Linked DNA regions of Canis lupus familiaris. The protein of the gene in region 1 purifies or fractionates together with the protein of each later gene. This does not show direct contact. Links are inferred from orthologs where the notes say so. Each region holds a gene or a part of one and is shown in the gene's direction. Other genes may lie near its edges.

The links.
Region 2: the proteins of CDK9 (region 1) and IMMT purify together in Homo sapiens (affinity purification with mass spectrometry; 3 studies listed by BioGRID, with this or other methods). This does not show direct contact. The link is inferred for Canis lupus familiaris from reciprocal best matches to the Homo sapiens genes CDK9 and IMMT.

What each region holds. Positions count from the first base shown.
Region 1 is NC_049230.1:55,701,815-55,712,444, reverse strand, and holds CDK9 (cyclin-dependent kinase 9), read left to right. Parts: upstream 1-5,188; 5' UTR 5,189-5,256; coding exon 5,257-5,348; intron 5,349-5,807; coding exon 5,808-5,889; intron 5,890-6,690; coding exon 6,691-6,781; intron 6,782-7,127; coding exon 7,128-7,294; intron 7,295-7,416; coding exon 7,417-7,588; intron 7,589-7,745; coding exon 7,746-7,894; intron 7,895-8,381; coding exon 8,382-8,747; 3' UTR 8,748-9,301; downstream 9,302-10,630. UniProt on the Homo sapiens protein: Protein kinase involved in the regulation of transcription.
Region 2 is NC_049238.1:39,247,167-39,257,967, forward strand, and holds the start of IMMT (MICOS complex subunit MIC60), read left to right. Parts: upstream 1-3,971; 5' UTR 3,972-4,099; coding exon 4,100-4,144; intron 4,145-10,801. Other genes in the region: MRPL35 (39S ribosomal protein L35, mitochondrial), read right to left, coding at 77-119. UniProt on the Homo sapiens protein: Component of the MICOS complex, a large protein complex of the mitochondrial inner membrane that plays crucial roles in the maintenance of crista junctions, inner membrane architecture, and formation of contact sites to the outer membrane.

The sequences.
Region 1 (10,630 bases):
GGGTGAATCCCTGAGTGACTCAGTGGTTTGGCGCCTGCCTTCAGCCCAGGGCATAATCCTGGAGTCCAGGGATCGAGTCCCACATCGGGCTCCTTGCATGGAGGCTGCTTCTTCCTCTGCCTGTGTCTCTGTCTCTGTCTCTCTCTCTCTCTCTCTCTGTGTGTGTCTCATGAATAAATGAATAAAATCTTAAAAAAACAAAAAAGAAGAAGAAGAAGAGAGAGAAGGGCCTGTGGCCTGGCAGTAGCCAGGGGTCTTCCTCATGGAAGGCAGAGGGGATATCCCTGGCTTCCCCCTGGGAGGCAGTCTCAGTAACCTGGGTTTCTGGGACTCCTGCCTCACCGTGTGACCCTTCACGAGACTCTGCCTCTTTGGTACTCCGTTTCTATCCATGAAGTAGGGTCACAGTCGCTCCCATTTCCAGGGCTTGTTGGGAGGATGAAAGGAGCAAAAGTTGGCCCAGGCTGGTCCCGGCGGCCTCGCAGCCCCCAGTGATTGTTGCTGAAGGATGGGGGTGGTGCAGGCCCGGGCCAGAGTGGCACAGCCCAGAAGCGCCCAGGAGAGAGCACAGGGTGGGGGAGCCGGGAGCTGGGCTGAGCTGAGGCCGCGTTGAGGCCGTGTTGCTGCCGTTGGCCTGGGCGCCAGGGCAGTTGCCGCGTCCCTGGGAGAATGAATGGGGCTCAGTGTGGCAGCTCCACTGAGCTCAGAGCCCCCTTTGTGCTGCCTTGAGTGGCCGTTGGGAGTGCCGCTGGGGACCTGCTGGCGGGTGGCCGTCTCGCAGACCCTCCTCAGCCTGCTTTGGAGGCTGGCCCAGAGTAGCGCATGTGCTCCATAGCCCGGACAAGAGAAGTGCTTTCCTGCCTCCAGGCCCCTGCTGCGGCTGGACCCACACCCCGAGTGTGGCTCTCCCACCCACCACCACTGGCTGAGAGTTTTGCCACCATTGAGTGGCCGCAGCTCAAGATCCAGCCACAGGGCCCTAGGGAGCCCTGCTCTGGTTCCTGTCGCCTCCCTCCTGCCTCTTCCCCCGTCTGTGTTTGGCCAGGTTCTATTATGCTTTGGAATCCTTCAGCTTCATTGTCAAAGTCACTGGGGCCCAGGCGAACCTGAGTTCAGATCCCACGTGCAGGACCCTGGGCAAGTCATGTCACCTCGCTGAGCCTTGTTTTTCCCATCCGTAAAATGGGACAAATTCAACATCCCTCATGTGATCCTGTGGCAGTGAAATAAAACATCTTTACTGCAAGTGTTATCCGTGTTACATTCACTGGTGTCTTTATTTGCATATTCGAACAGACTTCACCCTCCCTGAGAGGAGTTGGCCGTATGTATCCAGACTGGCGCCTGTACTATAGGTCTCAGCTCCTCCTGGCTTGACCCAGTTGTCTGATATTGGGGGTTGTGTGGGCTGATGGTAAATGACCCCCTGGGCTTTGTTTTTGTTGTTGCTGTTAATTTAAAGTAGGCTCCATGTCCATGTAAGGCTTCAACTTACAATCCTGAGAGCAAGAGTCACTTGCTCACCCACTGAGCCAGCCAGGAGCCCCGACCCTGGGCTTTGAAAGCAAAGACACCTGGCTTTGAATCCCAGCTCCATAGCTTCCTGGCTGTGTGGCCTTGGACAGGCCACTTCACCTTGCTGAGCCTCAGTTTCCTCTTCTGTAACTTGGGCCCAATACGAGCAACCTCCTAAGAGGGGCACTGTAAAGCTCCAGGGAAATGACACCTATCAACACAGGGCTGAGCAGAGTCAGTACCCAGCTGGTGGGGGCAGAACGTCCATGGTGTACAGAGCTGCTAGACCACACTGCCCTCTGTCTGGTCTCTCCCTACCCAGTGCCCCTTTGTGTCCAGCAGCCAAGAGCAGCCTACCTGTGAGCCTATTTTCTGCCTCCCTTCATATGCCCCCTACTCTGTCCCTGCTCAGGAGAGGAAAACAAAGGTCTGGGCCAGAGTCAAGCAGCTGGCCAGTAACCCCCTCTTCTACTCTGTGCCTCAGCATCCCTGTCACAAGGCAGCAGGACCAGAGGCTCTCACAGAGTCTGGTCAGTCAGTTGGCAAACATTGACTGAGTACTGGCCACATGCCTGGCTTTGCCAGCTTAGCTGGTCCACGGAAGCAGGAAACATTTTCCTCAGACCAGCAAATCAGAAGTCAGAGTCAGTGACAAATCATTTCCAACTAGGACCTAATTTGTTCATACTTCCACCTGGGTGATCCAGGACCCCATGCCTGGGCAGTGTGGTGGGCAGGCTTCTAAAGGGCTCCTGATGGCTTCTGTCTGGGAGGCCAAAGCTCTGAGGGGAAGTGACAGGCGGATGTTGGGGTTCAGGCCAGGGATGGTAGGGTGGAGGTGACAACATCACCGGAACATCTGCTGAGGCCTCTGCCCACAGGATGTGATTTAAGGAGGGCTCGTGGGAAAGAGGTAGGGGCCCCAGCCTGAGGGTCTGATGGTGGAGACCACCCAAAACCATGGTACATCCCCAATACTGCCATCCCCTCCCATACCTCCCATGGGCATCCAGGACACCTAGGCCAGTGGTACTGTGTCCTGGCTGTGCCCTAGCTCTCCCCACAGCCCCAGTGGGTGGGGTCTAGAGTGACCTGGTTTAAATACCAGTGTGGCTGCTGGCCAGCTCTTTGACCCTGGCCAGGTGATGTTACCTCTGAGTTCCGATGTCCTTACGTGTACAACAGAGTGATTATATTACCTACCTATGAATGAGAATTGAGAGGATTCTTGTAAAGTGCTGATGGTTGGCTTGGACCATTTATTTTCCTTCAACAAATTGTAATGACTACAATTATTATTGTGCTTTCCCTCCTTGCCCTCCCTACCTGCAATTTAGCTACCAGCCTCCCTGTTTCTACATTAGACCCATGAAGCAGATCCCAGATCACCTCGACAGGTCTCTTGACTGCCTAAAACCCTCGATGGCCTCACACTGACCTCAGGAGGGGGCTCCCTGCTGGTCGCCTGAACCTCAAGGTGTCTGTTGCATGGCCCTCCCCCAAAACAGAGACTCTTGGGATGCCAGGATCATCAGAACCTGCTTCCTTCTACGAGGGCTGGAAAGCCAAGCCATGGGGGTTAAGAGCTACCAGGTCACCCTGAGGGCTTCCTGAAGAGACAGGTAATGGTGTGCCACTGAGGAACTGCCTTCCAGCTCTGAAGGTAGGAAGGTCCAGGGAGTTAGCAAAGCGCAGGAGGGAGATTCCTGCCACTGGGATGGAGCTGGAAAGAGCCTCAAGTGTCACAATTTTGATTTTCCTGAAGACAGTGGAAGAGGGAAATACCTCATTTTAGAAGGACCTGGAAGGTGCTGTAAGGAGGACAGATGGAGAGGCCAGACTGGGGAGAGTAGGACTCAGGACCCATCAGCAGAGGACAGACTGAAAGGGTGCAGAGGTGGTAGAAAGGTCAGCTTTGCTGTGGGTTGATTGTTGAGTAGAGCTGGAGGAAGAATCTAGAGGCTCCTGGAGCCTGGAAGGTAGCAGGAAAATGAGGAGGAAGGGTTGGAGTCGGGTCGGAGGAGGAGATGGGTGGAGGGCTTGGTGGCTGACATAGGGACAGCAGGCCTCAAACCGCACCATTGCTCTACCCTTGGCCAGACTGTAGATAGCCTTGACTCGGGAGAATCCTCTTCAGAATCAGACAGACCAGGGATCCCTGGGTGGCGCAGCGGTTTGGCGCCTGCCTTTGGCCCAGGGCGCGATCCTGGAGACGCGGGATCGAATCCCACGTCAGGCTCCCGGTGCATGGAGCCTGCTTCTCCCTCTGCCTATGTCTCTGCCTCTCTCTCTCTCTCTCTGTGACTATCATAAATAAATAAAATCTTTAAAAAAAAAAAAAAAAAAAAGAATCAGACAGACCAGGTTCCAGTCACAGCGCTGTCACTCTGTGACCTTGGGCAAATGACCTCACCACTCTGAACCTCAATGCCCTCTTCTGTAAAATGGGCTAGTTAACCTGCCCATGGGGCGCCTGATTGAGGATTCAGCAGGATTCAGCAGGAATGCCCAGCGATTCCTGAACACACAGGAGTTCTGAGCAAATGCTAGCCATTTTTGTGATTACTGACCCGGGACTGACCCGCTCGGACGCAGCTGGGTGGGCATAGGGCTCCCGCGGGTCTCATCCCTTCCTCCCAGAAAATTGGGGGTCCAGGGCAGGAAGGCCCGGGCGTTGCTCGCTCGCCGTCTCCAGTGTCGCCGCGCCCCCTAGCGGCCGTCGGTTGCCATGTCAACGGCGGGCGGCTGGGGCCTGGGGAGGCGGCGGCGGGGGCCGTTCTCTCCTCCCAGGACCGGAGGCCGCTCCCTCGGCGCCTCCCGCCTTTCCCAGCGGAGGGGCACTCCGAGCCGGGGAGAGGGCTCTCCGCGGCAGCTAGCATGGGGGGGTAAACTGAGGCACGCGACAAAGCGCTCCGCAGCCAGGTGTCGAGCTCGGGGCCCCACCTCCGAAGGCGGAGGAGGGGCCGCGGGCGGTGACGCGCCGAGGGCGGCCGGCGGACAGCGGGCGGCGGCGGCGGCGGCGGCGGCGGCGGCGGCGGCGGCGGCGGCAGGTGCGGCCGCGGAGGGTGGGAGGGAGGAGGGAGGGGGGCGGGCGGAGGGGGAGGGGAGGGCGAGGCCAGGGCACCTCCCCCTTTATAACGCGCCCCCTCCCGGGCTCTCGGGCCACCTCCTCGTCGGCTCTTCCCATCTCGCCCCCTTGCCCGGCCGCCCCGGGCCCGGGCCCGGCCAGGGAGACCCCAGGCCGCGGCTCGGGGGCCACCCCCCCGCTCGCCGCCCCGCGCAGCCCGGCGGAGGCGGCGCCGTCGGAGGAGGAGGAGCAGGGCACTGCGGCTGGCCCCGGATCGGGCGCCAGAGCGGCAGCGGCTCCGGCAGCAGCGGCGGCCCGGGCCGATGCAGCGGGACGCACCGCCCCGAGCCCCAGCCCCGGCGCCCCGGCTCCCCGCGCCCCCGATCGGGGCAGCCGCCAACAGTGGCGGCGGCGGAGGCGGGGGCAGCGGCGGCGGCGGAGGCGCCTCTGCAGCTCCGGCTGCTCCTGGCCTCCCGGGAACTACAAGTCCCAGGGGGCCTGGCGGCGGGCGGCGGACGGAAGAGGCGGGGTCGGCGCCGCGAGGCCGGAAGTGGCCGTGGAGGCGGAAGTGGCGCGGCCGCGGAGGGGCCTGGAGCACGGCGGCGGGACCCGGAGCGGGAGCAGCGGCGGCGGCGGCGGCTGGGGGCGGCGGCGGCGGCGCGCTGGAGGCGGCCATGGCAAAGCAGTACGACTCGGTGGAGTGTCCCTTTTGTGATGAGGTGTCCAAATATGAGAAGCTCGCTAAGATCGGCCAAGGCACCTTCGGGTAAGGCTGCGCCCCCGGGGGACCAGGCGCTCTGGGCCTGCACCGCTCAAATCCGACGTCACGATGCCCAGGGCCGGGCCCGAGGTGGTCGGGAAGGCCATGAGCGCCAGACGTGTCCCCTGGTTTTGCTAGGCCGCGCTGCGGCCCGCCTGGGCCTGACCGAGCCGGCTGGCGGGGAGGAGCCTGAGGCCTGTGATGGGGGGCGGGGAGGGGTTACGGAGAGGAGCCAGTGGTGGGAGCGGGCTCTCCGAGAGACGCCTGAGTGAGGAGACTGAGGGGAGGAAGTAGAGGCTCGAAGCTCCGCAGATAGCGGGTGGCAAGGTAGGGCAGTGCCCTGGGTCCCCGGCCCAGCCCCGCCCGGGGAATCCCTTTTTTCTGCCCCCCTCCTCTGGTGGGGGAGGGGCGGGCCCTGCAGAAACGGCCTGATAAAACCTCTTGGGTCTCCCTCTCGGCCTGCAGGGAGGTATTTAAGGCAAAGCACCGTAAGACCGGCAAAAAGGTGGCTCTGAAGAAAGTGCTGATGGAGAACGAGAAGGAGGGGGTGAGTATGGGCCGGGTGGGCGGGCCTGCCAGCTCCCCTGGGCTCGGGGTTGGGTTTCCACCCTGCTTCTGCTAGGGCTCTCGTCTGGAGAACCTGTGTGTCTGTGTGTTGGGGGGGGGGGGGTAGTTAGGCAATTTCCGTATTCGGGGAATTTGGCTTCCAAATTGAATTTTTTAATTCAAATGTTTTAGAGCTTTTGATATCCCACTCTTAGGTAAATACGGTTGGGGCCAGGAGGGGGAGCTCATGCCTGCAGAGTGTGCCTTAGTTCCTGAAGTTAGGAAGCCTTTAAACACGGTTTCCTTAGCATTCATTTTGCATAAGGCGGAAAGAAATTCCACTTGGTGGTTTTAAGGGAGTGGCTGGTACTCAGTTGAAAAGGAGCAGTCCCCTCCCTTGCCTCATTGTAGCCCTAGTCCAGCTTCCCAGAGACCTGCTTAGCAAGGACATTTCCTTAAATAGCTGTTTGTTTCCACCTAGTAAGTTAAATACAGGTATAGAGCTAAAACTTAAATATTGAAGAAACTGTGGAACATTTATTTAGTGACGAGTAGTGAAGTGTGTAGGTATTAAGTCCCACTGTTTCAGTTCATTGTCTCAGAGCAACTCATTGAGGGGCACATACTATTTTTACACCCATTTTACAGCTAAGACATCTGAAATGATGTCAGAGCCCGGGACCTTACTCGTTTGCTGCACCTGTGCCCCTTGATCTGGACCACACGGTTGTTCATTGGTCTGTTCATTGGTCTATAGTTGACTCGCTCACCTCAGGCCCCCTCTTGCCTTTCTCCTACCCAGTTCCCCATTACGGCTTTGCGGGAAATCAAGATCCTCCAGCTTCTGAAACACGAGAATGTGGTCAACTTAATTGAGATCTGTCGAACCAAAGGTAGGTTCTTTGGCTCCTGCCCCCCTTTACAGATGGGGAAAATGAGGCTTACTGCCTAAGGCTTTGCAAAGTTGGAAGTGGACACACCTAAATTGCCTCTTCTTAACCCAGACAAACCGACTGTGACTGCTCTTGGGTCCTTCCATCGTAGCTGTTGCTCCTCGAGGGCCTGCCACAGCACCCAGCCCAGAGGAGGCACTCAGGAAATAGTTTTCCAGTGAAGGAAGGCACAGCCGAATATCCCAGTGTCCACGGGCTGGAGGGGTAGAAGCTGTGTGGGGAAATGAGTTGCACGTGGGGTTTTTTACTTTCTTTTTCTTACTCCTCCCCCATTCTTCCCTCCCAGCTTCCCCCTATAACCGCTGCAAAGGCAGTATATACCTAGTGTTTGACTTCTGCGAGCACGATCTTGCTGGGCTGCTGAGCAATGTCTTGGTCAAGTTCACACTGTCTGAGATCAAGAAGGTCATGCAGATGTTGCTCAACGGCCTCTACTATATCCACAGAAACAAGGTGGGGGTCAGCATGGGGTAAGAGAGACCCGGGCTGGGGTGGGCCTCGGCTCCCACCGCTGGGTGGGTGCGACTGAGGGTTCCCCTTGGAAACCTGATTGAGCCCTCTTGCGCTTCCTGCAGATCCTGCACAGGGACATGAAGGCAGCTAATGTGCTCATCACTCGCGATGGGGTTCTGAAGCTGGCCGACTTTGGGCTGGCCCGGGCCTTCAGCCTGGCCAAGAACAGCCAGCCCAATCGCTATACCAACCGTGTGGTGACGCTCTGGTACCGGCCTCCGGAGCTGTTGCTCGGTGAGGACTCCCGAGCGGGCGGAGTGGGGCAGGGGCTGGGCACTTACCCGGCCTCAGTCCCCCACTGCCAGGGCTTCTTGAGCCGCCGGCCCTGGGGCATTGCGTCTCAGGAGGCCCTCGGGCTCAAGGGGCCCTCCTGGTGCGCTCTTCTTCCCAGGGGAGCGGGACTACGGCCCCCCCATTGACCTGTGGGGTGCTGGGTGCATCATGGCCGAGATGTGGACCCGCAGCCCTATCATGCAGGGCAACACCGAGCAACACCAGCTTGCCCTCATCAGCCAGCTCTGTGGCTCCATCACCCCTGAGGTGCGTGGCCAGGCTGCCTGGGCCCCTGGTCCCCACAGGACGCAGAGATCCAGAAGTCCTCCTGGCAAGGGAGGAGTGGGGAGTGAAATAGCAGGAAAGTTCTGGAGAGGTGGCTGGTGGAGGGACAGGGGCTGCTCTTTAGAGTCGCATGGGCTATGCTTGAGTCTCACTTCCATCACAGTTCATGGCCCTGGGGAGGGCGTTTGCATCCCTCACCTCGGAGCTGAGTTTCTCTTCCGTGAAACAACTATGCCTGTATCAGGCTTGGTGGACATATTTCAGATGACCACGTAAAAGGGCCTGGCGCTTGGTGTGTGCCAGACATGTGGTCACTGCTGCTTCTACCTTGGAGAGGTCAAATTCACCCTCCATGGGTGGTCTGGGAGCATCTGAAAGGAGAAGCTGTAGTCCCTTCGGGTGCCTAACCAGGGGACAAGCCACACACCCCCTGAATTAAGACCGTCTTCTTCCCGTGCCTCCTGCCCAGGTATGGCCCAATGTGGACAAGTATGAGCTCTTTGAGAAGCTGGACCTGGTGAAGGGCCAGAAACGGAAGGTGAAGGACAGGCTGAAGGCCTATGTGCGTGACCCCTACGCGCTGGACCTCATCGACAAGTTGCTGGTGCTGGATCCTGCACAGCGCATCGACAGTGATGACGCCCTCAACCATGACTTCTTCTGGTCGGACCCCATGCCCTCGGATCTCAAGGGCATGCTCTCTACCCACCTGACGTCCATGTTCGAGTATCTGGCGCCGCCACGCCGGAAGGGCAGTCAAATCACCCAGCAATCCACCAACCAGAGCCGCAATCCTGCCACCACCAACCAGACGGAATTCGAGCGTGTCTTCTGAGGGCCGGCTGCCCACGCTTTTCATTAGGGCAGTTTCATTTCTTTTTCTGCTCTGTGACTTGCATTGTGGAGATTGTGGGGCATTTGAGTTTTCTCTAGTGCTTATTTCATTTACTCCCCACCCTGGGCACTGGGAATGCCCGCTGAGCGGACTGGAGCAAAGCTTTGGCTGAAAGTCCAGGAGGGCGCTGAGGCCCCTCGCCTTGTTCCCTGGCTTTCAAGATGATGCCCAAAGGTTCTCCGTTTACTTTCACGCAAGAATGGGATAGGAGGAGAGGCACACCCCACCAGTGACTTTCTGAGCATGATGGGAGGAAGGGACAGGTCCCTTGCCTGTTGCCAGCCCTCCTCTCGGGATGAGAAACTTGTGTGGGGGACAGAAGCAGCCTCAGGAATGGGCTACTCTTGGCCCAACCCTCAGAAGCCTGGGGTTGGCAAAAACTTGGTTTCTTCAATAGAGAATTTTATCGTGTTTCTTTTGTTCAGTTTGGAGACATTCCTGGACGCAGTTTGGTCAGTTATAATTAAAGTTGACTTTTTTTTTTTTTCCAGTAAGTGGCTATGTGCTGTGTTCTGTGTTCAGACCCCCCCAGCTCTTAACCCTGTAGCTGGCACATTGGGTCTAACCATCGAGATTGGATTTGTCAAGTCTTGACTCTTTTCTTCATCCCAGTTCATGTCCCCAGACATAATTGCAGAGTACTTTTGTCTGTTGGAGGGTTTGTGTGAGTGTGTGTGTACCTTCCAGAACACTGTTGTCATGCTCCTGCAAAAGCAGGTGCTGTGATGCTCTTTTGCTCTCCCTGTCCACTTGGTGTCCAAGGGAGAGTAAAGACACATGAGGCAGGATCTTAGTTCCCCAGAGAGAGGGAACTGGGGAGGGCCTGCTGTGAGCTGCATCTGCAATGGTGAATCCATGTCCCATGGCTGACAGAAGTGCTCAACCTTGACTCATGAGCACAGAAGGCTGCAGAAGGCTCTCGATCAAAGTGACAAGAGTTAGATCTGTAACTTGCAAAGGTCCTTCAGGCTGCTGAGTAGTTGGTGGCCAAGGGGAGGCAAGAAAGGACCAGAGCAGTTGAAGGATCTCCAGGGGCTTGGGGAGGTGGCAGTCACTGGGGTTAGAATGGTGAGCAGGCCCCAAACAGCAGTGGGAAGGTTGGCATGTCTTGCGACAGAGCTGCAATCGTTGGAGGAGAGCACATTTTGGTAGATACTTCCCTGTGAGTCTGAAGCTGGGGACAGGCACGCTTAGGGCAAATTCTATATTCTGTCACAGGAGGATGTCTTTTGAAGGGGGGCCCCAAAGGAAGTTGGGTAAAACTTACTATCGTATCTGTCCCTATAGAAATTGATCCAGATCTCAGCTTCATAAAAGGCCAGAGGTCAAAACAAAAAAACCTTCTTTTTTCTTTTTATTTTTTAAGGTTTTATTTGAGACAGAGCACAAGCAGGGGGAATGGGAGAGGGACAAGTAGACCCCCGCTGAGTAGAGAGCCTGATGCAGGGCTTGATCCTAGGACCCTGGGATCATGACCCGAGCCGAAGGCAGATGTTTAACAGCCACCAAGGCCTCTTGACTAGTGTTTTAGTTTTGGGGGGCTGCCATAGGAAATCACCTAACCAGATTGGGTTAACATTATAATAACATATAAATAACATATTTATTCTGTTACTGTTCCAGAAGCTAAAAGTGAGATCCAGGTGAAACCCAGGTGTCAGCAGGGTCTATCAGCAGAACTCTGCAAGAGAATGTTCCATGCCTTGTCTCCTTAGCTTCTGGTGATGGCTGGCAGCCCTTGGCCTTCCTTGGCTTATAGATGAACCTCTCCAGTCTCTTCCTCTGTCTTCACCTCGTGTTCTTTCTTTTATGTGTGGCTATCT
Region 2 (10,801 bases), on another chromosome or scaffold:
GCTAAACGCCTACTCCATCCTACACCAGTCCCGCCTTCTGTGAGGGGCTAAATCCAGCGCGCAGCTTTCTACTGACCTGAGGCGGCCTTCACGGCACGAGCAAAGACAGGGGCCGCCATCTTGCCACCCCGCCCTACGGCAGCCGCATTGGGATCTAAAACTCCAGCGCGAAAGGAAGTTAAGGAAAAGGTATGGGTGGAGTCTAAGAAAAAAAGAAGGAAAAAAAAAAAAAACAAAAACGAAAAAAGTAACGGTTAAGGCAAGTTTTATTGAATGTCTTCTATATGCCAAGCAGTTCTTCACCGCCTATGAAGAACAAGTACCTATGTACTGTGTCTGGCATTGGGTAGGCTCTTAAATTTTCAGTGAGCATTTGACATCTAAAGTACACAATTTCAAAATAAATAAATAAATAAATAAATAAATAAATAAATAAATAAATAAATGTTACACAATTTCATTTTGCTCATTTTATTAACTTTCAAAAAATAACATATTCCTTTCAAAGCTGCTAGATGTTAGGCTGCATGAATGGGACATAGCAATATTATTAAAATTTTTTAAAAATTGAATGCCAATCATAATTAAATGAATGTACATGTCCTAAGGATATCACACACACATAGTTTCTTCTAATCATTAACACTGACTGTCATTTGGTAGAACAGCATCTCAATCCTTCCTAAACAATTCTTATGTTCCTTATTTTATTGATAATTAGTGATCATACATTTTTCCAATGTTCACTCAAACAGAAAACAAATCTCTAACCTATCCTTGTTGGTTAAGATTCCATGCATATACAATAAATGACACCATATACTGATTGAAATGAATAAGGATCAACACTGGTCTCAAGGAGTTCACCTTTAATGAGACAAGTGCAGAACATAAATACAAGACAGATGATTCACAGGAGCAGTTCGAAGTTAAGGAGAGAAGGCATTCTGATTGAGATGATGAGGGAAGAGAATGTAACACAAGTCTTAAAGAATGGGATGGATTTTAACAAGAGCAAAGTCATTCTTGGCAATAAGAACAGGAAGAGCTAAGATGAGAAGACAGGGAGCCAGGACAGAAAGATACAGGATTTTATATAGCAGTGATTCTCAAACCTTTTGGTCTTAGTACCTCTTTACATACTTAAAATCTGAGGACTCCAAAGAGCTTTTAATTATATTTCCAATTGCTCCTGTAACAAAGTACCCCAAACCTAGTGGCTTAACACAACACAAATTATCTTACAGTTCTGTAGGTCATAAATCTAAAATGAGTTTCACAAGGCTAAATCAAAATATCCAGGTCTCTGTTCCTTCTGGAAGCTGTAGAGAAGAACTTGTTTCCTTGCCTTGTCTAGCTTCTAGAGGCTGCCTGTATTCCTTGGCTTATGCCTCTTTCAATCTTCAGAGTCAGTAATCACATTCCTCTGACTTCTGCTTCCATTGTCACATATCCTTTTCTGACTCTGCCTCTCCTGTCCTCATCTTCTACTCAAATGGACCCTTGTCATTACATTGGCCCTATGCAGATAATCCAGGATCATCTCCTCGTTGCAAGAGTCTTAATCACATCTGCAAGGTTCTTTTGTCATGTAAGGTAACATTTATAGGTTACAGGGATTAGGAAAATATGCTATGTTCAGGAATAATTATTCTGCCTACCATACTTAGTAAAAAACTATGATTTTCATAACAAAAATACACTCATGAAAAGTAACTCTCCCCCCCCAAAAAAATACTGAGAACAGTATCATTTCCTAACTTTTTCTGCAAATCTCTTTATTTTTTTTTTAAAGATTTTATTTATTTATTTATGAGAATGCACAGAGAGGAGAGAGAGAGAGGCAGAGACGCAGGCAGAGGGAGAAGCAGGCTCCATGCACCAGGAGCCCGACGTGGGATTTGATCCTGGGTCTCCAGGATCGTGCCCTGGGCCAAAGGCAGGCGCCAAACCGCTGTGCCACCCAGGGATCCCGGCAAATCTCTTTAAAGTATGGTTTAGTAGCTGGATTCTGAAATTTGCTTATGCATTGTCTGTTGTTAATTTCACTTGTCACCTAGCTTCTGGAAAAATTCTACTGTAAAATTATGAGAAATGAGTGAAAACAGCTAATAATATCTTAATATTATGAAGGTAGTTTTGATTTTTATGGATCTTCTGAAAAGGTCTCAGACTCCCCAGTGGTCCCCGTTCACATTCTGAGAACCAACTGAGGAGAGTCATATCCTTTAATTCTTCTGGGTTTTAGGGTATGTAAGTGGGTGATGAGCTTTGACTACTATCATTGCTTTCTTAATCTCCCACCTAAGATGGCTAAATTGAGCCTTAAACATATTCTCATGTATTGAAAAAGTACTGAGACATTTCACAAATACTCTTTGAATTGATAATGGAAGTCCTTGCACATTTTTGAACAGAGGAATGATTTAAATTTGTATGTTACTTTGGGGGAGTCCACTTCAAAGCAAAAAAAAAAATCCATAAATTGCACGTGGAGGATGAAGATTAAGGATTTGGTTAAATGGGAGATGAGGAAACAACAAAAATTAATTTTGGAGCTTGAGATTTGGAAGCTGAAGTTGGTAACGATGTTCAGGCCCAGGATGTGGCTGGGCCACACACGGTTAGGGTAGATTTTTTTTTTTTTTTAATTTATGATAGTCACAGAGAGAGAGGCAGAGACACAGGCAGAGGGAGAAGCAGGCTCCATGCACCGGGAGCCCGACGTGGGATTCGATCCCGGGTCTCCAGGATCGCGCCCTGGGCCAAAGGCAGGCGCTAAACCGCTGCGCCACCCAGGGATCCCGGTTAGGGTAGATTTAAATTGCTTATTTGATATTGAGAGGTTTATGGCCAAGATATTAGAAAACTCATTACACTGGCATCACCCCGTATAACAGAACAGCAGTGGGCAGGGACGGGGGGTGGGTGGGAGGGGTTGGGGAGACTGCAATTTAATGCTAAAACTACTTTTAAAAACGGGAGACTGCTTTGGGGGCTGTTAGGTGATGGGGATATGAAATTAGAGAGCGTAACGTAATTTTTAAAGCACCCTGAAAAGCAATGAATATATACGGACATAAGTATTTGATTTTAGGTAATTTTCAAATTCCTTTCTCCATTTTACAAGTGGGATTAGTATCATACTGTGATACCACCATATTGTAAAACACCGTAACTCTAGGAACACCATGCTGTGATAAATAGCCTAGTTAAGACCTAAAAGCACTTAGCAAATGCAACGGATATACACGTTATTCAGTTTCTTTTGATATTGTGATGGTACGATCATTATTAGTAATAACAGTATTGAATACTGTGTTCAATATTTAACATACTAAATCTTGGTTACAGACTCCGTGGAATACTCTGAAGAGTTTTTCTACACTGATCTCCTTAACTTCCGACGCATTCCATCAAAATTATCTTTGTAAAAGGAAAACGTAGTGGGAAAATAAGTGTGGCTTAAATCTAGGAGTAGAAGCGGTGGAACCCGAAGGATGTGGGTTTCTATCCCTGCTCTGCCATTTATTAGATGCGCGAACAACGCGTTCCGCACAAAGGTCTCTCCAGTGTTCGTCCTCCCAATCTCCCATAATCAGGATGACTCCCTGAAGAAAGGCTGTCAAAGCAAACAAACACGCAAACCAAAACACCATTGTTTACGTAACTTTCGCCAAACCGTCTGCTTTCTACGAAATACCCAGCTGACAAATGCGGCCGGGATGTTTTTTTCCTTGAATTCTTCGACGAATAACATCTTCTATCCGCACTGATCAAAGCCCGAGTTTCGCGCTTCCTCTCACCCTCCGGGTTCACCTACTAACCCCTTCTGGCGGATACAGACCAGAACTCCGAAGGCGACCCGGAAGGAGAAATAGCCTTTTCCGCCCGGGGTCGGTGCGGGGGGGGGGCGCCTCTCCGGGCGGCCTGGGCGGGGTCGAGAAAGGGGGCTGCGCGTGCGCAGCGGCGTTTGTTGCCCTTCCGGTAGGACCGGCGCGGAGAGGCGGCACGGACGCAGGGACGTACGCACGCTCTCCCTTACTAACGCCTCCGCGGCAGCTCCCTCGTACGCCAGCCGTGCCCAAGCCCGGCCGAAATGCTGCGGGCCTGTCAGTTATCGGGTGTGACCGCCGCCGCCCAGGTGAGCGCGGGGGCGCTGGGAGAGCGCGTGGTGAGGCGGACTCCGGCCAACCAACGGAAAATGGGAGAGGCTTTCGCTCTGACTAGGCCCCGGGAGAGAGGCGTGTTTCGCGGCCGCCCTCATCGCGGGAGTCCTGGGCCGACCCGTGAAGCAGTTGATTAGGGGGTTCGCCCGACTGGGATGATTTGAGGGTTATTGCTGTAAGCGGGATGGGGTGTGGAGAGAAGGTGGTGGGGAGGCGGGCGCAGGACCGTCAGCGCGGCTTCGGGGACGCGTCGTCCAATCAGCGGCGCGCTGCCCCAGGCAGGGACCAATAGTGGCTCTGGCGCTCGGGTTGCCGGTTGGGCTCGTGATAGGTTTCGCGCAGCCAGTGGTTGAAGGTCGCGGGGAGAACTACAGTTCCCAGCAGGAAACGCCTATAGCCTTGGCTTGTTGCATCTTTAATAAGGAGGTGTTGGGACTGTTAGAGTCCACATTTTAGGGGTCAAGGTTGTAATTACTCGGGAAGGACCTTCTTTTTTGCAGCTTAGAGAGCCTCTGAGGTATTCTTACTCTAGACAAAAAATGAGAGATTGTAGTTTATGAAGTAAAAACTCTGGGTACTGAGGAAGAACAGGAGTCATGACCTTGTGCTCATTTCTGAGGTTAGCTTGGGGATGTATTTCTCCAGGTGCTGGGACAACTTTGGCAGACATCCAGGAAGCCTAGACACCCAGTGACTTACATCTGCACGCTTGTCAAAGTACTTTTCTAAAGTTGGAAATAAACTTCTATTTCTATTGTTCACAGTTTTCAGAATTATTGATATGTTGGAAGATGTATTGCACACCAAGCAGCAATTGAACAAAATCTCTAGTCAGAGTGAGTGAGAAATCATGTCAGGCTTTTTTTTTTTTTCCTTCAAGTTTGCTTGTCTCCCTACTTGTTGCCAGGATAGAAGCAGCTTTTGTAGGCAAGTAGGGTCTGTATTAGTTCTTTTTTGATGCATAACAGGTGTCACACACTTAGCAGCTTAAAACCGCACCCATTTATTCTTAGACTTTCTGGTTATGAATGGTCTGGATTCTTTGTTCGGTGCCGCACAAGGTTGCAGTTGAGGCATTGACTGCTGTGGTGCTCATCTGGACCTCAGAGTCCTCTTCCAAGTTCATTTTGGCAGAATTCAGTCCCTTGCACCTGAGGAACCGAAGTCCCTGTTTTCTTTCCTGCTGTCACCTAACTCTCTTAGAGTTTGCTCCAAGTGTGTTGCTCAGTGACATGGATGTTTGCTTTCTTGTAGGCTACCAGGAGCTTATCTCTTTGACTTCAGAAGTCTCTCTTAACTTTCCTGTTTTTGATCTCTAGATCAGCATGTAAAAGGCTTTAAGATTAGCCTGGCCCACCTGGAAAACCTCCCTTTTGATTAACTCAGAGTCACCTGATGAGTTACACACCTGCAAAATCCCTTTTGTCTTGCAACCCTAATCATGGGCTTAACAGGGTGGAAATTGTGTGGGCCATCTTAGAATCCCTCCTAATGTAGTACCCAAGTGGGACTAGAACTCTTTGAGTGCAGAACTCTTGGTTTGTCTTCAGAGCTCTCCTTTCATGGAACACTCTTGTTCTGCCCTCAGATTATGTCATGGCTGTCACCAATCTCCTTGTCTGCCATAAAATCTAAAATTTTTCTACTTTTTCCTTCCTTGTCTTGATGAAAACGCTTTCTACTTATTGGGATTCCAATTAGGAAGTTAGAAGAAAACATTAAAGCTTCACACTAAAATATGAACCCTTTTCTAGCTTGCATCCGCATTTTCTTAGGGTCTCGAAATTGCGATCTTGTAAAAATTCATTGGTTTCTTCTCATTTTGTAGCATTTGATATTGTTGCTTTGTGAAGCTGTTTTTGCTTTCTGGCTTTTCTTATGTAGTATCTAGGGGCTCTTTATCTTTCTCCTTTTTCCTTTATTGAATCTGCTACTTGTACCTCGAAATATATCCCCAAGGTCTGACCTCTCTTCCCATCTCTCTCTTTTTAATTAAGACTTTTTATTTTTTATATTTTGAAGATTTTATTTATTTATTCATGAGAGACAGAGAGAGAGAGAGGGGCAGAGACCTAGGCAGAGGGAGAAGCAGGCTCCATGCAGGGAGCCCAATGTGGGACTCGGTTCCGGGACTCCAGGATCAGGCCCTGGGCTGAGGGCAGGCGCTAAACCGCTGAGCCACCCAGGGATCCCCTAACTAAGACTTTTTAAAGAGCAGTTTTAGCTTTGCAGCAAAATTGAGGGGAAGGTAGAGATGTTCTGCCCCCACACATGCTTGCTTACCTTCCACCATTATCAACATCCCCCACCAGAGTGGTGCATTTATTACAGTTGATTAACTTACATGGGCATATCATAATCACCCAAAGCCCATAGTTTACATTGGGGCTCACTTTTGGTGTTGTACATTGTCTGGGTTTGGACAAATGTATGATGACATATGTCAGTCGTTACTGGTATCTTACAGAGTATTTTCACTGCCTTAAAAATCCTCTATTCTCCACTTACTCATCACTTTCTTTCCTCTCCTCGCAACCACTGATCTTTTTATTAACTCTTTAGTTTTGCCTTTCCAAAACGTCATATAGATGGAATCATACAGCGTGTAGCCTTCTCACATTGGCTTCAGTCGCTTCATAATGTGCATTTAACTTTCTTCCATGTCTCTTCATGGCTTGACAGCCTTCTTTTTTTTCTTTTCTTTAAGCATTGACTAATATTCCATTGTCTGGATGTACCACAATTTACCCATTCACCTACTGAAGGATGTCTTTGTTGCTTCCAAGTTTTAGCAGTTGTGAGTGAAGCTGGTCTAAATATTTCATGTGTAGGGTTTTGTGTGAACATGTTTTCAGCTCTTGGGTAAATACTGAGGTGCATGATTGCTGTATTATATGTTTAGTTTTTGTAAAAAAAAGTGTCAAACTGTCTTTCAGAGTGGCTGTACCTTTTGCATTGCTAGCAGTGATGAATGGGAGTTCTTGTTGTCCTACATCCTCATCAGCGTTTGGTGTTGTCAGTCTTAGGGACTTTGGCCATTCTGATGTATGTGATAATCTCATTGTTGCCCCATCTCTTTATATACTGTTACTTGGGATTATATCAATTCTCAGAACTTTCATCCCCAGCAGATGGTTCTTTAGATTCTTTTGAGCTTTCTAGTCAAATTTTCTTTTCCTTGTTTGATTTTGTCAACTTTATCCAGAATATTCTACTTGTCAAAATCTTTTCCATTCTGTCAAGCTTCATCTTCTTTGATGTTTTCCTGCTTTACTATTGCCCTTTTAGAGTCTTCTGGAATTTTTTTTTTCATTAGGATTGTAAAAACTGTTACTCATTACTCAGCAGTAATGTCTGCCAAGTATACATGGTAGAAAGTACTTTAATATATCATTGCTCTTTGCTTTTATTGGTGTTAGATCATTTTTTATTATTCCTTATTTTCATCTTTTTAGGCCAGTGGCTTTCAAGCCATTTTGGAATATTTACATCGTAACTTAAGACATGCAAGTGGGAATATATGAGTAATATATATTCATACATGTATGGAGGGAAAACTAAAGTATTAAGTTCCTTCTTTTGCCATATTTAATACTTGCCATTTGCTTGTTGTAACTGAAGGGTACGTTTTCTAAGATAGAGATCTGTGTCTTTCTTTCTTTTTTTTTTTTTTTTTTTTAAGATCTGTGTCTTTCTTGAGAGATAATACTGCTTCAATGCCAAACTTCCTGGATTTTTTTTTTTTTGTGTGTGTGTATATATAAACATATATATGTATATATATTCTTTTTTAAAGATTTATTTATTCATGAGAGACAGAGAGAGAGAGAGAGAGAGAGAGGCAGAGACACAGGCAGAGGGAGAAGCAGGCTCCATGCAGGGAGCCCGATGTGGGACTCGATCCTGGGTCTCTAGGATCACGCCCTGGGTCAAAGGCGGCGCTAAACCACTGAGCCACCCGGGCTGCCCTGTGTGATATATTTTTAACCTTAATTCATAATTCTTTTATTTTCTTTTATTTTTTAAAGAAGATTTTATTTATTTGAGAGAGAGCGTGTACTTGCACACATAAGTGGTGGGGAGGTGCAGACTCCCCACTGAGCAGGGGGCCTGACTCCCGTCTTCATCCCAGGACTCTTAGCCAAAGGCAGACGCTTAACTGACTGAGCCACCCAAGTGTCCTTTAATTCATGATTCTTATATTTTAAACTAGCCTTTGAAAAAGTTGTCACATGCTAATGTGCGTTTCAAATGTAGAAGTAGGTGTTAACTTCTAGGTGTCTTTTGTTTGTGTGTGGGGAGTCCTTGTGACAAAACCCACCAAAACATGGTCAGTTATAGCCATTGGCAAAGTCTATAGGGGAAACCTGGAACCTCCAGAATGGGGTTCATGTGAGGAGATATTTATTATAGTCTCTTGTTTCCAGGTTGTAATGCTAGAGTTTGCTTGCTTGCTTGCTTCCTGAAGATTTTATTTATTTATTTGACGAGAGAGAGAGAGAGAGAGAGAGAGAGAGAGAGAGAGAGAGAGAGAACTGGGGGAGTGGCAGGCAGAGGGAAAGAGAGAAGCAGCCCCCCCGGGAACTTGATATGGGGCTCAGTCTCAGGACCCTGGGATCATGGTCTGAGCCAAAGGCAGACACTTAACCATCTTAGCCACCCAGGCACCCCTAGAATTTGGTTTCTTTTTGTATGTTTACCTTAGTTTGGAGCTAAGGAATAGATGGTTTGTGCAAGAACATAACATGGGTGTTGTATTTTTATATTTTTTGTTTTTATTTTTATTTAAAAAATATTTGATAGAGAAAGCACAAGTGAGGGAAGGGACAGAGGTATAGAGAGAGGGATAAGCTGACTCCTTGCCCAGTAGGTAGCCCGACATGGGGCTCTATCCCAGGACCATGACGTGAGCCGAAGGTAGACCCTTCACCAACTGAGCCACCCAGGCACCCTCTTTTTTGTTTTCAAAAATCATGTTTCTATAGGTTAGAAGCAGTAATCCTAACCTTGCAACATTGATTATAAAATTATGTCAAGGCAAATTGCTTTGAAACAGTATAGTTCTTTCTACATGATAGGTTATTATTAATTAAAAGCTATTCCAGAATGAAGAAGTGTGTTAAAGTAGGGTGTTTAGTTTATATAAACAAAGAGATTAGCTTGGTGCATAAGAAAGAGAGCTCTAGGGGACGACTTAGATTTGGCAATGGTTTCTTAGATATGACTCCAAAAGAAGTAAAAGATAAATTGGATTTCATCAAAATTAAAATTTTTTGTTCTATCAAAGGACACTGAAGTGAGTGAAAAGAATGGGAGAAAATATTTTCAAATCATATATCTGATAAGGATCTAGAGTCAGAATATGTAAAGAACTATAGCTTAACAATAAAAAGACAACCTTAATAAGCCATGGGCAAAGAACTTGAATAGACGTTTATCCAAAGAAGATGTAAAAGTGGTCAGAAAGCACATGAAAGCATAATAAACATCCACTGGCATTAGGGAAATGCAAATCAGAACCACAATAAAATAGCTACTTCATACTAAGATGCCTATAATGAAAACATAAAATTATAGGTAATAGGATGTGGAGAAAATGGAACCCTCATTCATTACTGGTGGGAATGTAAAATAATGCAAAGTTAAACATAGAATTACCATGTGACCCTGCAATTCCACCCCCAAAAATTGAAAATAGGTGTTTAAACAAAGTTTCCCGAGGGATATAGCACTATTTACAATAGCCAAACGATGGAGACATCCCAAATGTCCATCAACTAATGCTTGGATAAACAAAATATAGTATATCCATAGATTAAATATTCTGGTCAGCCCCCAAAAGAAACCACATAATACGTACATGATACATGCTACAACATGGATGAACTTTGAAAACATCATACCAAGTGAAAGAAGCTGGGCTCAAAAGACCACATATTGTAGAATTTCATTTGTATCAGATATCCAGAATAGACAAGTCTGTAGAGCCAGAAAGTAGATAGTGTTTGCAGGGACTGGGGGGAGGGGAGAACGGAGAGACTGCTTAGTTGGTACAGGGATCTCCTTTTGGAGTTATGAAAATGTTCTAGAACTAAATAGTGGTGAGGGTTGTTGTACAGCACTGAAGATGTACTAATGTCACTGAATTGTACACTTTAAGATGGTTGAATTTTATAACTGAATTTTATTACAGACAGGAAAAAAAAATTTGAAAACTTGACACCAGGTATTTGAGATGGCCTGAAGTATAGAGACAGATTTTATATACACACAGACACATAGACACACAAACAATGTAACAAAATGATATGCTATAAATTTGAAGTCAGGTCCATTGGCCAAATATTAGAGAAAAAAAACTATAGATTAAAAGAGACTTAGAAGATATCCTCTTTTTTTTTTTTTATTAAATAAAACTGCACTATGGTGTCTAGGGACTCATACTTGGGTGATAAAACCATAAAAACCCATAAATTTCTGACTTTTAAAATTACTTAGGATATTACGTGCTATGTAGAATATGAGAGCAGGCTAATGAATGGGATACTTAAATTTTTAAAAATCAAGAGCCACTTGTTCAGATAAAAACCCTATAAATTTGAGTCATGCTACAATCCTTATTTCTACTTTTT